Astyanax mexicanus: one gene and its partners. The protein of the gene in region 3 interacts with the protein of the main gene of each other region in a biochemical or structural test. Links are inferred from orthologs where the notes say so. Each region holds a gene or a part of one and is shown on either strand. Other genes may lie near its edges.

Region 1 (3,754 bases), on a different chromosome or scaffold from region 3:
AATGCTGTTCACAGTTATTTATGTGAATGTTGATTAAATAATAATATAGTATGCCTGCTTTACATTTCATTGCCTAATTGTAACATCTACTCTTCCCAGTACCTGCTTATAAACAGATAAGATTAACATTGAGTTAAATTGTGGTTACCAGTATGTCATGTGGCAAATTAATTCCCCATCCCTGCTCTAGAAGGTATGTATATAAGGTTGGATCCTGTAAACTATTGGATGAGCAGCTATAAGAGAATGCCATTGGCCATTGGGCAACTAACTCATCCTATCAATGTTTGGCAAAAAAAAAAGACAAAGTGCCCTATTGACTGCCCTTCTTGTGAGGAAAAAGTTGTCTGCCAGACGACCCCTTCTTTCTATAAATGATTATGATGATTTGCTCTATAGATCAAGACATTTGGTTAATTTGATAATGTGTCTACTGGGGTGCTCCTCTGCCCCAGTAGAAAGGGGGGCTGACATGTAAATTAAAATTTCTCCAGTTTTACACCAGATATTTGCTAATCCAACCATCTGAATATCCAATGGCATCGCTAGTTAGCCACTGTTCTCTGTTTAAACCAAAGTGAGAGAGATAGGCTTCGGATGCCACTGGTCGGTATGTGTATCAGATAATGTTACCACAGCTAATGTGGAAGGAATGTTTAATACAAATATGTAATAATGTGCCCCTAAAGTTATTTCTATCTTTTTATCTGCTGAAAAAACATTAAAAATTAAAGTAATACACCTCCCCTGTACATAATAGTTTTGTGTCCTTTTTATTTTGATCTAACCCGCTACCCCCTCCCATTAAATCACTTACAATTTATTTACAGTCCACAGTTGTTTTTAAAGGGGGTCGGTGAGGCTGGATTCATTCAGCATCCTTAAATCTCTGATTCAAGAACATCCTCAGAACATTAAAATAATGCAAACAAGTTCATATTCATAAAGTTTTAAGAAATCAATATTTGGTAGAATAACCCTGTTTTTAATCACAGTTTTCATGCATCTTGGCATGTTCTTCTCCACCATTCTTACACACTGCTTTTGGGTAACTTTATGCCTTTACTCCTGGTGCACAAATTCAAGCAGTTCAGCTTGCTTTGATGGCTTGTGATCATCAATCCTCTTGATTATATTACAGAGGTTTTCGATTTGGTAAAATCAAAGAAACTCATCATTTTTAAGTGGTCTCTTATTTTTGTCCAGAGCTGTATGTACTGCTTTAAAGACCATGGGTCTATTTTTTCATCTTGCTGAGGAACTTGTTTTCTCCCTAGATCAGAAATAGAAAGATGACTACAGAGTGTTTTCATGAGCACTGCTTGAGTGTTTACTGAAGTGAAGGGGAATCTACAGTAGCCTGCACATTGTTCCAGTGTGACACGCACTTTCCAGTGTTGGAGGACTCGCTGGACATTAAAACTTCACTTTTCGGTTTCGTTTTTAGGAGTTTACCGGCAGATGGCGTTATGATTTTCCTCCCTTACATGAGAAGGAAGTAGCTGAACGAAATAACACGGTAATGAAAATTTGAGACTAACTAAAGCGGAGGTGAGAACGATAGTAGAGTGTAAGTTTTCTGTGTGTATGTGGTTTAACTTTGACTTTATTTATACAGCGTTCCGTGAAATCAGCTGCTTGGCCGGTTAGCGTCAAATCGTTTATTAGAGTGGAAATCGCCTACAGGGTATGTTATGTTTTAGGGTGGGAAAGAAGCTGGGGACGATGGGGCTCTCTCTCTCCGCCCCGCTGCGCTGTAACGTATAATAAATACCTATATAAGCTATTAAAGTAATAACCTAGCCCGAAGAACTGCGAGGAGAAGCTGGTCAAAGTGACAACTCTAGCTTTATCTAGGTTAAATTGCTGTCAGGGTGTTTGGGGCCATTATAGCTAACCAGCTAATAGTGAGCCTCAACCATGGCGGATAGCGTTGGAGAGGGGTCCAACGGCGCTGTTGGAGCGAGTCAGGGAGCTGGAGCCCAGTTGTCAGCGAGTTTGGGTCACTCTTTGCCGGGGCACTCGACCAGCGGAGCTAACCCGGCCTCCCCGCCTCCTGCCGCGGCTGCAGAGACTGGCCTAGCCGCGGTGCCTCCACCTGCTATAGCACACAACATCACCTCGGTCTTGGAGAGCGGACCCGGCGTCGCCGTGCTCAGCCACGCCGTGAGCTCCAGCATCTCGGCCCCTGCGGCCGTGCCTCCCTCGCTCCCACCCAGCATCGGCCTGGGGGTCACCGGGGCTCCGCCGAGCTTAGCCGGAGCCGGCCTTCTGTCCCAGATTCACGCCACGTCCTGGGACCCCACTCTAAGCACAGACTGGGACAACGAGAAGGCTTCGCAGCAGTGCATTCTCCGGATAAAAAGGTAAGTTAACTAGCTAGCTAACTAGGTTAACTACTAACATATCAACAGCATGATAAGCTGGCTAGCTTGCTTACTAGCTAATTATTCAATAATAATAATCGTTTTAAAATTGATAGCCATTTAACTTAATCACTGTATTCTTTTTGACTTGACTAAATAATAACTAAAGCTTATTCTCTTTAATAGTATTTATGTATAACAAAACAAAAAAGTTTAAAAGACAAAACTTATGGTCAAGAACATTTTTAAAGAACTGTATTAAATTAACTAACGCTATATTAATCATACCTGCTATGTTTTTTGTTCTTTACTTTGTAACGTTATCAGTTATTAATGTCTATGTATTTTATTTATTTGAGTTTAATGTAACTTATCTAGATAATCTAATAGGTTTCCCTAAGATAATTTGTTAACAAATTAATTTAGTTAACCTTAATCTTGTCGCCTGTCTGAGGTAACGTAGATTAAACTTTTTCTCACTGGCTACTTTTGCTAGCTTAATAGCTAAGCTAACTAGCCAGCTAGCTAAATAGCTTGCTAGCGAGCTAACGCTAACTTAGCTAACAAGCTAGGTTAGCTACCTAGTTCAGTAGGAAGTTGCGTAGCTTTGACTAGGTGAACTAGCTAACGTAGCTACCTGGCCTTAGCCAAACATATGTTCACAGTTTGCTATCTTAGTAGCAACATTAGCTAACCTAACTAGCTAGCTAGCTGTAAAATGTTATACTGCTTTCATATTTAGCTAGTGCTGATTTAGGCTTTATTAGGCTATTATGGTGCACAATTCTGGTAAAATTTCATAACCCTTAACAAAAGTGGGCCAAATCACGTAAACTGGCAAACCCACAATTATTCACCAATACTTTTTACCAGTGTTTGACTAAGTATACAAACCATGTACACAATGGTTGAGTTACAATGAGATATAAAATAAGCAAATTGAGCAGCATGTTCATGATTTTTTTTATTTACTGTAATAAAGAAGGCACATGACGGTAATATTTTAGGGTTAAAATCCTGATGTAACATAAATGATACAGCAACAATTTTATTTAATATTTCTATAAATCGTGTCAAAACATACAACGGAATCCAAAACAAAATATTTGATCTACCATTAAAAAGTACTGCTATTTGCTTGCCTCTGAAATTAGTTTTAATTATGTCACCATGCAGCAGTTGGTGGGAATAAATAATATAAATGTTTATATTATTATTATTATTATTATTTTTATTATTATTATTATTATTATTTATTATATTATTATATTATATTTTGTTTGTTTTTAGTATCAGTTCAATCTGGCAATTTTTGCTTACAAACCTTTTTAGCCCTAGTCTTGCATTAGGCATGGTGCCAATAGGTTCATGATTTTCTGCTGTAGAGA
Region 2 (3,754 bases), on a different chromosome or scaffold from region 3:
AACACTTTTTCACACTTTTTTACAAATGGATAACAGGGTTTTCTGCAGTTCAGGCCTCCAGTAACAATGAAGCACCCCCTAGAAAGGCCAGGCATAGAGCCCAGTCACATGTGCAGTCCAGCCATCATCCCGTCTAGGTTGTGCTTAGTCCCCTTCGTGTCTAATCGTTCATAAACGAGGCATTAAAGTGTGCGAAAGCTAAGCGGCGAACGTGTGAGCCATCGTTCGCCCCATGCCAGGAGATGACATTTCTGCACCGTCCCGGCCGACAGGAAGAGACAAGTGCAGTCGCCGCAGGTTACAGAAGGAGGCGTGTGAACTCTCAGTCGGCGCCTCTACCCACCCCAACCCCTCCTTCTTCGCGATGTTGTCCCTGCAAAGACTATGATCCAGTCTGACAACAAAGTCCTTGCTTATTTTTGCAACCTCCAGCCTCTCTTTTTCTCTCTTTCCTCTCTTCTACAACAACTGACAGGAAGCAAAAGTGACAGGAAAAGCCTCCGCCCACAGATGTGCTCCTGGGCCCAGCAGAGGGCAGGGTGCTTGGACGCTCACTGACCTCAGGGGAGGTGTGAGAGTGGGAGGGATTACAGAGCAACACATAAAATCATCTTACATAACATGGTGCCCTTCAGACATCGTAGGCCAGGGGCAGTTAAGGGGCCGTCCAGAGAAGCTGTGAGACAGAGGTTACATAAAAATACGTAGGCGTGCCAAGACACTGTAGCCCTCCGGAGCAGGAACAGGTCATCCATGACCGTCAATGTCAATGTAACAATGTCCTGCATTCTTCGGAACAATGGTCTCATGACAGCTGAATGAAGCATCAATCCAACAGGTTAACTGGGCCCTGAATGTTTCTTATAAATCTAATGCAAAATCAAGTCTGTACACTATAATGTCCAAAAACATCTAGTCATATATAGGATATTCAACAACTTTAGCTGCATAACATAACATAACATAGCAGCTGAAATGAGACTTAAAGGTCACCATGACCAATGTCCTGCATTATATCTGTGATGGAGGTCCATTGAAAAGCATTGGGATAATTTGAAGATGCATTTTAATTAAGAGACAATATTCCAACATCAGGCAGAATATAGACTATCTATCCCTGCAGCAAAGTGCTGACAAACTGCATCTTACTAGCCTTGAGCACAGAAAATATAATACATCATGGTTTCAAAAGGTTCCACAGCTTACAGAGCTAATTCAATCCTTAAAAATCAGTTCTTATTGAAGGATTACACAAGAAAATGGACTACTTTCTTGCAATAATAAGATTTACAAATGTGCAACTGACATGTGTTGACCAACTGTAACACTCGTGCAATCTCTGGAACGTTATTTTTAAACAAAAAATGTTTAATTGTATTTAGAGGGTCAATGAAGGAGAATTTGCATGTGTCACTTAGATAAGAGCTTACAATAAAGTGATATGCAAATAAAGCCATGCAAAGTATTGGACTAGCTCAATTTGTGCACATGCAGCACACAGAAGGCTTGTCGCTTGGTCTACACTGCTCTGTCTCCAAGCTCTACACGTGGCTTAATCCAGGTCTTAGAAACAGGCCATAAGGGATTCCTAAGGTTTCACAGAAGCTATAGCTAACGTTAAGCTTTATACATTCCCATTCATTAAACTTGTGTAACTTCCAAAATGCTAATATATGGAACTGCATGGAGGGACTAAATGTGACAAAGACAATGAAAATCTAAACAATATCTGACAAATAAAGCTAGGTAGGACATTTTGGCCTGTATCACTACTTGACTTATTTATTTAGCTACTTTATTAGAAAAGTATGGACAATGTTTGTTTGCTAAGTTAGCAAAACGTTAACTAGTTAGCTTACATTTGCTAACAACAACAAATAAGTTACACGCTAGCTAGGTTGGTTAGTTAGTAAGCTAAGCTAGTTAGCTAGCTAAGGTTAATATAGCAAACACACAGGGAACAAAGCAGCCAACAGCTTTGTTGAAAAATCTCCATTTTACAAGTTACAAGTCTATAAATCAAAATTCACGTTTGTCACTACCTTTAACAGCTGAAGTTAATAGCTAACGTTAATTGTTTATCTCCTCTTGAGACGTTGACAGCTGTCACAGCGGCCAGCATAGCTGTTGGGTTAGCAAGCTAACTAGCTAGCTAACCCAACAGTTTAACCCGTATAGCCATCTTAACTTTATCGTTAACGGTTAAAGCTAATACAAATCTATTTAAAAAAAGGTTAACAGTTCATTTTTACATCCCAATGCGCTGACAACCGAGAATGTGAAAAGTTTGCTTGGGTTAGCTAGCGGTTAGCTACCTTAAACAAATGCAGCAGTAGCTATAGGTAGCTTAGCTAGCTTTCTATGCTAAGCCGGCTAAAAACACACAGCTGGCCTCCTTTCACACTCCTTTCAGCACTTGAATAGCTAACTATCTGTGGATGTTAGTTACCTGGGCTCTTGAGGTTGTATTTGTTCTCCATCTTTCCCCAGATGTCAGAGTGTTTCCTGCTATTCCTTCTTTTTCTTCTTCTGCTTGTTGTTGTTATTCACAGGTCCAGCGTTAGCCGGCTAAAACTTGCTGCTAAGCAACGCAGCCGGTGTGGATCCGGGTTTGTTGTGGGGCTGTTTTAGCCTGTGAGCTCCGTAAACCCGTTCACTCCGGCAGCTGTCAGCGCCCGAACCAGAGCCAGTGACGTGGCGAAGTGTTTCTGCTCGTGTGTTTTCAGTGGGCAGACTGAAACCACACAGAGCACCAAAAAGTCCCTGAAAAACGAAACAAACTCAGCCTGATTGAACCACAAAACTTTATGTGAAACCGCGTTCCGAGGTTTATTCCCTACAGAAAAGACTCTTCTCACATAAATAATCCACAGCTGGCTTCAACCATAGCTAAAAACTAACTATAAACGTTCTACAGTGCTGTATAAACCAATTTAATATATAATATCATAATGTAATATATTCACTTCCTGTGGTACTCATATACAGTGGTGCTTCATAGTTTCTGAACCTTTCTGAGTTATATTATAGTCTTTTTCTGCATATATACCTCAGAGGAAAAAGGTAAATAAACAGAACCAAAGCAAACAAACGACACAAATATATTATATTTATTAATTCATTTATTGGGAAAATACCAAACCCCTGTATAAACCACTTCTTTGTACATTTCCTGACACTCAATCCTATTCTGTCCTCTGTGCTACTGTAACATTGTAAATTGCCTGGCTCTGGCATTAATAAAAGATTACTTTATCTTGCCTTGCCTTTATCTTATCTTATCCTATATAATACACTGCCCTCTCAAAAAAAAGTCTTCATCTGGATTATAGGAAGTAAATTATGTGGTGTTGATGCTGCAGTTGGTCAGGTCTGTGCTGAAAGAATGAGGTCAGCTGACTACCTGAATATACTGAATATAGACCAGGTTATTCCATCAATGGATTTTTTCTTCCCTGATGACACAGGGATATTCCAAGATGAAAATGCCAGGATTGAAGGGGCTGGAATTGTGAGGATCAGGAAACATGAGTACATAATTTTCACACATGGATTGTTCACCACAGAGTCCAGACCTTAACCCCATTGAGAATTTTTGGGATGTGCTGGAAAAGACTTTGTGCAGTGCTTCAGACTCTACCATCATCAAGATCTTGGTAGAAGCTTAGAAGCTTACTGAAACAATGCCACAAGGAATGTGTGCTGTAATCAAAGCTAAAGGCGGTCCAACAAAATATTAGAAATAAGTATAAGT
Region 3 (3,754 bases):
AATGACAATGATATTGTTTATCGGAATCATTTCTGGGACGATATATTGTCAACAAAAATAATTTTATCAAGACAGGCCTAGTTACATATAGAACAATATAGAACCACAGAACACTCTCCACTAACATTCCTATTGAAGAATGACAGGGGTTGTAAAGACAAGAAACCTACAAGAGACACAAAGACACTAATAGGAGACAGAGCCAAGATTATTAACTACATGAAATCAGTCTATTATCTCAGAATTCTCTCAAGTAATTCCATTTGTAAGCAAATTATTTGATGTCCCAAAGAGTCCTTTCAGAATTATGTACCGACAATCACTTAGCCAACAGTCTGAAGTAGTTTCCAGCAAGCCTAAACCCAGCACTCACAGCTACCTGAACCCAGCTTGTGCTATATAAAAGAATGGCATTATAGGAAACTGAATTGGCCTAATATGACCCATGCTGATGTAAGCTTTTCCATTGTTGTAAACGTCTACCTTACTACTTAAACAATTTTGTTCCCCTTGAATAACACTGACCAAGCTTATTTTAATCTAACTCAAATGTAATGAATAGATTTCAATAATACATAAAATGATGCAGAATCCAGGAGCTCTGGACAATGAATATTTGCCAAATACTACACTATATGGACAAAATGTTGGTAATTCATTGCTTATTTAATTATATTAAAAAGGTATTTATACTGCTTTTTTGGAGAAAATGTCTCTACTGACCAGGAGTGGCTTTCTTCTAGATTTTGAAAACACTGTTCTCTGGATCTGATTGCATTTACAGATAGTAATATCAAAACCCCATTTCATCTCAAAAGTACTGATTGAGCACCATCATTCCAAAGAATACAGATCCACTGCTCCACAGCTCACTTCTGGGGGGGCCTTTTTACCCCACTAAACCAATTCTGGCCTTAAGAATGGAGATGATGGGTTCATGTTTATCTGTTTCACAGAGACTTGCAAGAATGCAAGAATGCAAGAATGCATGATGACAGGATGCAAGGATGCAACAAAGCATTGTTGGGTTCGCACTTCATGAAACAAATACAAAAAAATACATATAAAACGAATAAACGTTGGAAGGAGGGGTTGATACCTTGTGACAAAGGCCCAAGAGGGCCGTTTATTCTTGTTTGTGTGGGGAATTGAGGCCAAGACAGGGGCTTCAATTCTGGCTGTAAGCGGCTTTCTCCCCCCCCGAGTAAACGATATGTGCAACTCTTTCACACATCACACTCCACTGCTCTGCACAGGTACCCCGTTCATCTGCGCTTCAATGGGCGAATATTGATCCGCTCAGCGTAGATTATTAGTTGTTAAAGTGCCAGCGCGGCCACTTTTAAGGACGACAAAATAAACAGCGGTGAGCTAGCTAGCAAACCTAGCAGGCTTTAGAGCTAGCAGGCTTTAGAACTAGGTTACTATATGTAATTCGGCGAGTTATTTAGCTATCTGGCTAACTAGCTATGGAAGCTAGACTGCTATCTTCAAAATATATCTGACCACCAGCACTGGTTAGCTACCAGTGGCGCCAATGATAGTAATAATGTGCAGCATGGCTGATTGCTTATCTATATCAATACAGTCAACCGTGCAACTGCTGCTGACTCCCATTCTGACTCCTAAGTTTATGCAATTTCTTTAACCTACATGCTTATGATTAGTATCACCCTGTACTACTGTAGATCCCACAGACCACAAAAGAGCACTGATAGCTAGCTTTAGCTAACCAGCTAGCTATGTTAATAATCATTGTGGACTGGTAGAGAAATTGTAGCCAAGAGAGCTAACCTAGGTTGGCCAATAACTGCCAAACGATGCTAGAGCGCAACAAGGGGAAGGCAAGGAAAGCAAAGCATGTCTTTCCATGTCTTTGTAGTTTCTTGTTAGGTTAGCTAGCCTAGCTAGCTTGCAAATAGCTATTTGTAGATTCAGTATTGAAGCATTCCTCACAAAAAAGCATGTCTTGCTGAGCCAGTCTTTCAATTTCAAAAATGTATTTATTTGTTTACAACAGCTATTTAGCTAGCCAGCTAGCTAAGCTAACTAGTTAACTATGTAGGTTAGATAACTAGCTAATCACCACAAGGGATAAGACAAAAAGGACTGACAACTTTGACTGTTTAAACCACTTATGGTTAGCTAAATTATAATATAAATGCATCTAAATTCTAATTTATTTACGTTACAAATATAACGTTATATCACAAGTCATCTCATATCAAGCTAGAATTTTCCACCATCATGTGGTTACGTTTAAAACCATGCAAATAAGGTTAGCTAGCTAACTAACTTAACTGTTACTACAATTTTAATTTTGCTAGCTAGCTTATACAGACAAGTCTTTGAGGCACATTCTTAGCCTAACTAGCTAGCTACTAGTTAAGTTAGTTAGCTACCGATGTGGTTAGCTAGTTAACCTAGTTAAATTTCTAGCTAATCTAGCTAGCTTAGCTAACCTAGCTAGCTTGCTAAGCAAGATGCCCAAATCTATTATTGTGTACGCGTTTGCTATTTAGCTTGCTAGCTAACCTAGCTGGTTAGCATTAGCCAGGCACATAAGTATGCAGAACTCACCACATCCGATATTACCGGGGCCTTTCCACCGTACTGAACACAGAAACGCTTCTCAGGCAACAAAAAAACGGTAAAACCCACTAGTCTAACCGTTAATATCACACTGTATCGAAGTGGCTCGAGCTCCTCGACTTTCCAAGCTGAGAAGAAGCTGGACTGACTCCTGACCACTGACCACCAACCGCACCGTTACCGCTACCGTTACCAGCTCTGAGCGCGAGAAGTGCTCACTTCTATTCTTCAGTTGTTCACGAGCGGCGGAGCAGCAACATGTGCAGAGTTTGAGTCAGGAACTGCAGACTGCACGAGGTGAACACACGCTGCACGAGCCCACATCTCACCCCTTAATTCACAACACTCTGACCTTATTTACTCAAACAGCTTCAGTCAATCAACATTAACACAGCACTGCACATGATTCATCTTTAATACAGCACGGGAAAGGTCTCAAATATTTCTGCACGCACTGGAAACTACTGGAAACACCCCCGCGTGTCCTGAAATAAGCTCGCCCGTAGTTTGCATTTGGCGCTGAGCATGGCGGGAAACGCAGTACTGATACGAATGATGCACTATTTCACTATTTCTGAGTTTAGTCTGTTGTCTAGAGGTAATGGTGTTAAAAGCGTTAACGGTCAGTGTAACCTATAGCAGTTTAGTTTTCTGACTGTATCAAGCTAAATTCGAAAATAGAAAATTGATTATATAACTTTTTTCCTATTCTGTAAAGTCAAGAAAAAAATGGATTTTCATACATTTTTTTTCTTCTAGTTTTTCATTTCAGCCTTTCGCTAACAGAATTTTTTTAAAAATATAAGAGTATCTCGATTTTCTGATTTGTCTATTTTTGTACCTTGTAACACAAATCTGATGGTATAATCTAACTTGCAAGATGCAAAAATGAAAAAAAAAAACAGATTTTTTCTTTTCTGAAATTCCGATTGTGAGGGGCAGAGACGAAAAAAAATTGGAAAAATGGATACATTTTTTGTACACTGCACTACTTTAAAAAAAAAAAACAAATAATGAGTTTTTACATTCAATTTTCTATTTTTGCATTTAGCCTTAAACACTCAGAAAACAAAACATTACACTGACCTTTAACATTCATTAGTAAACATTTTTTGACTATTTGAGCTTAAATGCAAAACTAGAATATTGTATGTAAAAACCC

What was found.
Region 1: of the proteins of uba1 (region 3) and ube2z, one has a biochemical effect on the other in vitro, tested with the Homo sapiens proteins (3 studies listed by BioGRID). The link is inferred for Astyanax mexicanus from reciprocal best matches to the Homo sapiens genes UBA1 and UBE2Z.
Region 2: the proteins of uba1 (region 3) and ube2j1 form a complex in vitro, tested with the Homo sapiens proteins (2 studies listed by BioGRID, with this or other methods). The link is inferred for Astyanax mexicanus from reciprocal best matches to the Homo sapiens genes UBA1 and UBE2J1.

The regions. Positions count from the first base shown.
Region 1 is NC_064426.1:33,233,096-33,236,849, reverse strand, and holds the start of ube2z (ubiquitin-conjugating enzyme E2 Z), read left to right. Parts: upstream 1-1,388; 5' UTR 1,389-1,920; coding exon 1,921-2,366; intron 2,367-3,754. UniProt on the Homo sapiens protein: Catalyzes the covalent attachment of ubiquitin to other proteins. Specific substrate for UBA6, not charged with ubiquitin by UBE1. May be involved in apoptosis regulation.
Region 2 is NC_064408.1:49,531,442-49,535,195, reverse strand, and holds the start of ube2j1 (ubiquitin-conjugating enzyme E2 J1), read right to left. Parts: upstream 2,806-3,754; 5' UTR 2,481-2,805; coding exon 2,450-2,480; intron 1-2,449. UniProt on the Homo sapiens protein: Catalyzes the covalent attachment of ubiquitin to other proteins. Functions in the selective degradation of misfolded membrane proteins from the endoplasmic reticulum (ERAD) and is essential for cells to recover from ER stress.
Region 3 is NC_064420.1:35,310,870-35,314,623, reverse strand, and holds the start of uba1 (ubiquitin-like modifier-activating enzyme 1), read right to left. Parts: upstream 2,823-3,754; 5' UTR 2,581-2,822; intron 1-2,580. UniProt on the Homo sapiens protein: Catalyzes the first step in ubiquitin conjugation to mark cellular proteins for degradation through the ubiquitin-proteasome system.